2 separate regions of the Mus musculus genome follow, and region 1 is reported to be linked to region 2. The links are microRNA targets in miRTarBase. Many come from high-throughput screens and were not tested one by one. Region 2 holds a microRNA gene; the other region holds the end of a gene's coding sequence.

Region 1 (4,000 bases), not on the chromosome of region 2:
TGAGGTGGACTGGCCGGCAGTGCCCGAGTAAGCCGAGAGGTCCATGGTGAAGAATGAAAACTTTGGGGGCGGGGGGTGGGAGGATATCTGATATTTGTTTTACTGATAAAGCTTTGTGAACTAATTTTCTACAATTCATAAAATTTGGTGCCTTGTACTTGATTGTGGTTTGCATGAGAGTTAAGGGGAGGGCTCCTTTTCGTTATGGGTCTGTAGTGTTTAAAGGATACGTGCTATCAGATTTTTAGAGCATTCCTTTCTTTGTCTTATTACGAATGTAAATTGTTCTTACCAGCAAGTTCTAGAGTTTTACTGTCCAAACTGTATTTGTAATCAATCATTCATCAAATGTCTGACTACTACCACTGTTGTTCACTGCCTTTTGTTCATGCCTAACATTTATGCTGGCCTTTTCTGGAGGGTGACCCTTTCTTGAATGTCTATCACATCCTATATGGCGTTGCAGCTTATGTGAGCAAGGGTTTCCGGTTAGTTGGGAGAGCACAAATGATGAGAAAAGGCTTTCTCTAAATCACGATGAAGCTAGGTGACCAATGGCAGTAGAGTCTGCGTTAACACTGGGGTCCTTCTGCATGAACCATCAGGAAGCAGTGTCAAAACAATGCGCACATGTGAACCTTCAGACTGTAAGACAAGCCACTGTGTACTATGCAGTGAATCATGGAGAAATGACCCGTCTCCACCATCCTCAACACTTCTCGGGCAGATGACAACCTGGACAGTGCTGACTGGCTGAGGAAGGTAGTGAGACTCAAGTGTGTTCGTCAGGGCCAGTCCCAGCCAGTTCTTTCACTCCAAGCTTGAAGTTTCTGTTGAACTTGTGAGACTTCACCAAGTGTTCATGAATTTACCATGCAAAGCATACGCGGTAACTGGGTCCCTCGCTTCGTTCCTAGAGTAATTAGGTGAAGAGTTTTATCTTTGGGGTGAAATTTTCTAGGGTCACTTGATTTTTTGTCAGCTAAGTGTGGGTCTCACAGGTGGGTCATTTTTGTCAATACTAAAGCTGAAAAGCACCTTCTCAGAACTGTGAGCTTCGCCTCTCTTCTACATTCCTCTGCTCTCCATCCAGTCTGTCACTGTAACTATGATGTACCGTCAACCCATGCTCCACTCTACACCAAGGCTCAGTAGCTATGAGTCAGGGGGGTCACTTTGTGAGACCTGCCCATGCTTAAGTTGGCATCTTTCACTTAAAAATACAACTAGCAGCTGGGGAAATGCTCATTGCTAGAGCACTTAGCACTCGAGGCCCTGGGTTTCACCCAGCTCCACTAAGCCAGCTTAAATGAAACTGCCCAACCAGCATCATGGCGTCAAAGAACAACAGTAAAGTTACTTGGAATTAAATCTTAGGTTCTGAATGAAGCTTCAGTTAAGCTCTGAAAGCTGTCATGTCTTAAGTTTTTGTCTCATCTGGCTTTTAACTTAAATCTTGTCATTAACTGCTCAATTATGGGATCATGGCACACTTTAAGGTTTTATTCCTCCAGAAATCAGTTGCTCTTTCCTAGTGTAGCCAAAATCATGTGGGTTCTAAGTCTCACACACTGTTTACAAGGCTGCTTCCTGGTCACCTTTTGGGGCTCTGCAAGTAATGGCTTCAAACCCAAGCTTTGTCCTCGAGTTCATACTCATGACCCTGGCTCCCCAGCCCTATTGTTTTTTTTTAAAAAAGGAAGTCTCAGTGTGTAGCCCTGGCTAACCTGGAACTCACTATGTAGGACAGGCTGGCCTTAGAGATACATAGCTTCTGGGATTAAGTGTGTGCCACCAGGCCTCCAGCCTGCCTCTTCAGAGTATCTGTAATCCCAGGGTAAATTCTAGGCCTGAGTTCCCTCATAGGGTGTTTCTCCTAGCCATCCCCACTCAGGTCCTACCTGCTAAAGATTCACAAGAGAATGGCAACCCCCGTCCTATGCATGACTAGGCACGTGGCTCAGTAGGGTGCTTGCCTAGCAAGCATAAAGCCCAGAGTCTGATGCTAGCACCACATAAAATCAGGCATAGTAAAGCCTTGAATCCTAACCTGTACCTGTGATCCTAAGAGTCGGTTCATGGAAACAGCAAAATAAGCAGTTCATGACCATCTTCAACTATGTAGCTAAGTTTGAGGCCAGCCTGGACTACAGACCAGCACAAGAACCAGATATCTCCCCCTCCCCCCCCCCCCCCCGCAAAAGAACAAAAAACAAACACTTTTAATTATGCCTCCCCCAACCCCAATTATTTTCTGGAGGTCAAATTGAAGCCTTTTCTGCAATGAGCTATACTGGTAGGCCTCAGAGAACTGACTGGATGAGCTATGTGCCAGCAGGTCCAGGAAAGCTGCTTTGTCTTTTTCCTTTTTTAAGTAACATCTGTAACAGTCATGCAGCTATGACCCAGACACACTAATCCTTTCCGACGCATGCTGTGACCCACAACCAGTTCCAAAGCGGCTGGTGCATAAAAAAAGTTTTAAAATACCCAGTCAATTGACTACATGAAACTATGGAGACCCCGTCTCTACCGCCACCTGGTTCCCTGGTACAGGAGTCTTTCTGTGCTGGTTTCTGCGTGCCTGGAAGAACACCAGACAGCAGCACCAGTGTGAATTTCAGGGTAGGGAGCACCTTTGTTTGTGAAGGAAGCTGCTTCCTTGTGCTCCCTGACACGTTTGTCTCCACCCACACATCACTGTCCACTCCTGCCACCAGGTCTCACTCTATCCCAACAATGCCTCCCTGGTCCCTGGAGAACCCACCTGGCAAACTAAAACGACAACCACCACCTTCTTCCTACAGGAAGACTCAGCAGTAGGAACTGCTCAAGAATCAGCTTTGCGGCACGTGTGCATCCCTGGGAAGTGGGTGGTCCCATTCCCATTTCATCTCCACTGCAGATCATGTTTGGGGCTCATGCCTGTCTCTTGAGTGTGAAATACAAGTCATGTTTATTTGATTTTTGTAAGCGGACTTTTTACACCTTGTTTTTGTAATAAGTTTCTTATTAAAAGAATAAAATACCTGTCTTTTATGTGCAGGCTTTATTTGAAATCTTTTTCAAGAACCATTACTACTCTTCAGGACAAGGGCAAGGACCATCTTCTGCAGAAAGTTGGGAACTGCACACAGAACCGTGCAGAGGCAACATCTCAGCCGACACTGGGGGATGGGGGGGCAGTGGGGGGGGGTTCAGGCAAGGAGAGGGAGTCAACTTCAGCTGCCACTCAGGTAGGATCTTGTGGTCACAGACAGTAGGCTGTCTTTGGAAAGTCTGAATACACAGGAGTTCCATTCTCTGTAAGCAGATAACAGCATCAGAAACGGGGAAACACAGGAGAACTGCTCTCACCTAGAAACACAAGGGCAAGGCTTTACCCCAAGAATCTTCCCTACTTCTGTGACTAGCTGACAGAACATACTGCTGTCTTCATCTTTTAGGATTCCTGAAATAGGCAGGGGAAAGTGAAGTCTTACCTGGCTACACCCCTGGCTGAGGGGCCATCAAATCAATGTCACTCAAGTTCCTGGCCAGCCAGACTCCCGCAGCAAAGAGTCCCAAATTGAGGATCAAGTTCCTGGGTCAAGAATACATTTCATTAACCCTACAGTCCGAGAGTCTCATGCAGCTAATGACATACTATGGCAAGTTTCCTCTCAGCACCACCTTCTGGAGGTGCTGACTGACACCTGATACAGGGGTATGTCCTCCTAATATGCACATGAGAATTTTACGTTCGCATCTACTAACACAAGCCAAGGCCAACTTAGTACTCTGCGGGGGCTAAAATTTGCTTATGCGTTGGCACCCCTTCCCTGCCTTCTAGGTTAGGGCGATTTCTTTAAAAATATGACGTTCTTTAATTTGTGTATGTGCGTGCGCGTGCACGCGACACAGCGCACGTGTGGAGGTCAGTACAACCCGCAGGGGTTGGTCTCTTCTTGTACCCTGCGGGTCTCATGGATCGGCGGGTCCCATGGATCCCAAATCCTCA
Region 2 (4,376 bases):
TCTCTAGATCTTGGATTTAAGATCTTTCTAGGGATGACTGGGGGGGGGGGAAGGAGATATCGAATTTTTCATATTTAATCCTTTGCCTCCCAGGAATGGGTGAAGGGGGTGAATCAGGGCTCATAGTGGGAGGGGTGTACAGGAGCAAGGAAGACAGGATGGGTTTCAGGTGAGCAACCTCTAAACCACCACGTTTAGGAGACTGAGACGGGACTTCAGTTTGGTGGCCAGGCTCAATTCTACTGTGAAACCTCAAAATGTCAATTCTTTTGCCCTGTAAAGTCACTTGGAGTAAGTGGGCTAGGGTGTGCTGTGAGCAGAAAGATGGCAGGAGCTGATTATTTTTATGGGAGGTGAATAGGAGCCCAATTACGGCCTTGGATATCTTTAAGGCGCAGGGGCACAATTGATTACATATCCTTGGCTGTACTAGGAATGGTCAGAGGGAAAGGGCTAACAATCTGGTGCCGACATTTAGGACCTGGTTTGAGCGAAGCATGCCATGGGAATCCCTACAAGTCAGGCAATATATATGGGATACATTGATCTAGACACCCACTCCTTCCCTTAATCCCCAGTCTCTACCGCGGTGTCTGTACAGTGCTGGGCAAGAAAAAAAAGGAAGAGAGACCTTAAGGATAAAGTGACCGGTTCGCAGCCTCTCCTGCGCTCACTTGGTTGCCTTGGAGAGACCTCGACCTTAAACCTCTTCCCTCAAACTCTAACTCTGGTGGTCTGCGGTGGCTGCCAGGCACCTAAGACGTTGCTGGGAGGTCAGAGAGGTTTGAGAGAAAGGCCAGACTGTGTGCATCCAAGCAAGCAGGCCTAAGGCTTCTGAGGGCAGAAGAGGCGCTCCCCTGTCCTCGCGGCGCAGAAGCCGTGAACGCCGAGGCCATTGTAAGGCTGGGTGGTGCCGAGCGCGGGAAGGGGGCTGGGATTTGAATGGAAGCCCGTGATAGGCCGATCCCCCGACTGACGTCACTTCCCCGCGGGGCGATTAGCCTGCGAGAGGAGGGCTGATGGTCCAGTGCGCTGGGGGCCGCCAGGGCGCCCGAGGCTGCCCAAGCGCAGAGCGCCGGTTACCCGAGTGCGCCCCGGGACGGCGTCGAAGCGGGCCGCGCACGCACTGGACGGGGAACTGGGGATGGAGAAATCGCGAGGGCGAGGGAGGAAGGGAGCTGGGCGATCCGGGTGGCGGGAGTCCGTGTGTCTGTGTGTCTGTCGGTCCCCTCTGGCTCTCCGCGTGCGCCCGGGGCTGCGGGAGCGGAGTCCGCTCAGGCCCCCGCGCCGGGTCGGCGGCGGCACGTGGGGCCCACAGCGCGGCAGCGGTGCCGGCGAATGGGAGGCCCGTTTCTCTCTTTGGTTATCTAGCTGTATGAGTGCCACAGAGCCGTCATAAAGCTAGATAACCGAAAGTAGAAATGACTCTCACAACTTCTGCGTGCGATGGCCCGGCCGGCCGCCCTGGCCACAGGAGCCAGAGGAGCCCAGAGAAGCCCACGCCACCCAGGGATTCCAGCTCGACGGAGCGGCCACGCCGGGACCAGGTATCCGACCTCGGCTCTCCTGGGGACACTTGCCGTGTCCTGGAGGCATTCCCTTCACCTCCTCCTCGGTCCCTGCACCCCCATCACCATTTCCCAGCGCCGAGGCTGGAACCCCGAAGTGGAGTGGGTTGGGGGCAGGGAACGGGCTGGGGTTGCAGAGGGGTCGCTGGCGGGGAAGGCGCCAGCCTTTGCCTTCACCCCATAAATCAGGCTAGAACAATCCACGCCCTGAGCTGCAGACTAGGATTTTGGGATGCAAATGCGATGAGAAAGAGAACGGAGAGAGGAAGGGAGAGAGGAAGGGAGAGAGAGAGGAAGGGGGAGAGAGAGAGAGAGAGAGAGAGAGAGAGAGAGAGAGAGAGAGAGAGAGAGAGAGGAGAGAGAGAGAGAGACCGGTAGGCAGTGTGTAGGGGGAGTAAAAGGGTGGGCAGGGGGCTGCCCTGCCGCTAACAATGCAGCCTTTATCGAATTATTCGACGAGTCAGCCCCTGAGCACCATTAGCATACGGCTGGGGGGTTGCTGGAGCTTCGCCCCTCGGTGAGGTCAAGTTCTTGATAATTTGATCACTTTTCACCGGCTCTGGCAGCTGCCTTTGTGTGCAGTTGGGGGGTCTGTGTGCAGCGTGAAGCGGAGCAGAACTGGCGGGGAGTGTACTCAATGGCAAGGGGCCTAGGCGGGGGGCCTCCCGCCCCGACCGACCGGCCCTGCCCTGCATACAAACCAAGAGCAGGCTGCTGGGCGGGAGAGACGTAGCCCAGATCCTCTAAACCTCTATAGTTCTGGTCGGACGGCTGGGGCCGGAGCCTCCCCAACTTCCCCAACTGGTTAAGGGGGAAGCCAGGCTCTCTGGAGCTCCTCTCCTTCCCGCCCCAATAAATGGCAACATAAGATGTATTACAATGTCTAGCAAATAAAAAAGCAATTGGGGGAAAAAATCTGAATTCCGTTCCCATGGCAACCCAATGCTGCACACCGGCCACTCAAGCTCCAGGTCCCTCTTAGCTGGGCGCTGCGAGTGGGGCGTGCCAATGTTCTGTGTCCGTGGTTCTTAGCCCCACAAGGAGCGGAAGGTCCCTTTGAGGTTTCTCTGCCTTCAGGTCCCTCTCCTTCCTGCCACTCCCTTTACTCTTTCCTTATCTTGAAGTTTGGGGCCCCCTGCAACTTAGGAAACCATTAGGGCTCCCGCGTGGTGGATGTAGACCCAGCTATGGACCCTATCAAGTGTAGGGAAGAAAGGATCCAAAGTCAGTTCACATACCTTAAGGCTTGGGGTCTTTTGGGGTTCTTTAAGGCACATATCAGTGTATACATGCTTTAGCAGATTGACTGGGAAGGATTAGTGCTACCATCCTGACTTGACCCGCTTTCTTTTCCTTGAACATATTAAGGAAGCAGATCTGGGGGGTGAGGGCCTACTCCTTAGGGAGTAGCACACACAGCGCAGAAGTGCAGAGGTGGGCACTACCTAGGTCACCTTACCTCCATCTTGGCCCAGTTCAATCCCAAGAGCCTCTTGCCTTAGTTATTTATAAGATTGGTCTCTCAGCCTCTATCCAGAACCTGCCCAGCCCCCTTGTGATAATAGAAATCTTTTTCCATCTTTGTGCCTACCAGCCGTTCCTCCCCCCCCCCCACACCCTTTGCTTAGCAAAATTATCTTAACAACAAAAAGGTGACTTGTGTAAAAGTAAAAATAAATTCAGTGATACAAAGGAGAACCTCCTGGGTCTGGGGAGGGGCAAGGTGTGGCTTCCATACGGTAGATGGAGAGTTTTTCACTGCATTGCCTTGGAATGTTAGACAAAATTAAACGCGGTGGCAGGAAAGCAGCTGTCTCTGTGCCTCCTTCTCAGGGACTCATTGGGTGGAAGGAAGGGGTTCGAGGTCCTTTCATCTTTTCCTTCCCGTTTCTTAGGCCTGTGAAGGGTCACTCGCGTGTTTGAGGACCCAGGAGCCTCCCTCCCCCCAACTGCATCTACTGGGCTTGCTCCCCCTTCCTGGTGCACCTGGGAGCCTGTGTGCTGGTGGTGACCTCATTTCTGAGGAAAGCAGAGCAGCTCTCTCAGCCTGCTTGCCCAGCACTCCCTGCCTCCACGTCTCACGGATGGGCTGGGGCTTCCCCAGAGCCTGCCCCGGTACTCAGAGCCTTCTCTTCCCTGGCCCCTCTCCTTTGCTATTTTTGTAAGAGCCAGTCCTTCCTACACCAAGGTGGTCACATAGCTTCACGACTGTGTCTTAGGTGTAGTTCAAATGTGTGTCGCCTTTGGTTCTTTTGCCGTCCAGGCAGGCTGGAGTCCCCCCATTAGGAGTCCCATGGAGGTAGAGTCCTAGCCTGAGACAGTGCAGGACTTTTACTGCTTTCTATGAAGGGGGAAATCTGCTGATACAAACCTTGCACTTTAGGGAAAAGATGAGGGCCTCAAGGGAGGAGGTGGTGGTGGTGGTGATGGAATGGGTCTGCTGATTCTGATTCACAGAGTTTATCTCACACCCACCACAAAAGGTTTTCAGGGGTGCCAGCCCATCCATTTTATCCTAACAGAGAGATGTTCAAATCCCACCCAGGACCCTTGGAGCCCGAGACACAGGCTTAAAATTGTGTTCCTTATCAACCTCCCTAGCTAGCCTATGGCTTCCTTGGGGAGCTTGGAGGGTCCTCAGCCTTTGCTCCCCCCCACCCATCCTGTCCCATTTGTTGAGCGTTCTCTGGCCTGACTGCCCAAGTTTGGGTTACACTGCTCCAACTTGCACTAACTAGTCTCTTTCTATAAGAAAAGGCTTGTGGGTCCTGAAAGCGCCGGCTGAAAGTACAGTTGGAAGCCTAAATT

Evidence for each region. The annotated mature microRNA mmu-miR-9-5p reads UCUUUGGUUAUCUAGCUGUAUGA and lies in region 2 at 1,357-1,379, shown strand. An mRNA with a match to its seed (bases 2 to 7 or 8) in the 3' UTR can be bound and repressed. Matches are read on the target gene's strand: a 7mer-m8 pairs with bases 2 to 8, a 7mer-A1 pairs with bases 2 to 7 and ends in A, and an 8mer does both.
Region 1: miRTarBase lists Tomm6 as a target of mmu-miR-9-5p. Seed matches in the 3' UTR shown: 7mer-A1 at 3,268-3,274.

Annotation. Positions count from the first base shown.
Region 1 is chr17:47,683,706-47,687,705 of GRCm38, forward strand. Tomm6 (translocase of outer mitochondrial membrane 6) reads right to left here. Exons shown (of 3, transcript NM_025365.3): 2 at 3,483-3,583; 3 at 2,940-3,303. The coding sequence ends at 3,487. Gm20517 (predicted gene 20517) reads left to right here. Exons shown (of 9, transcript NR_157366.1): 9 at 1-3,034. Usp49 (ubiquitin specific peptidase 49) reads left to right here. Exons shown (of 7, transcript NM_198421.2): 7 at 1-3,034. Tomm6os (translocase of outer mitochondrial membrane 6, opposite strand) reads left to right here and starts at 3,905. Exons shown (of 3, transcript NR_045945.1): 1 at 3,905-4,000. It also overlaps a transcript of Frs3 not described here.
Region 2 is chr7:79,503,923-79,508,298 of GRCm38, forward strand. Mir9-3 (microRNA 9-3) reads left to right here and starts at 1,342; the gene lies at 1,342-1,431. The region is part of intron 1 of Mir9-3hg (Mir9-3 host gene); the gene reads left to right. Gm51285 (predicted gene, 51285) reads right to left here and starts at 1,414; the gene lies at 1,357-1,414.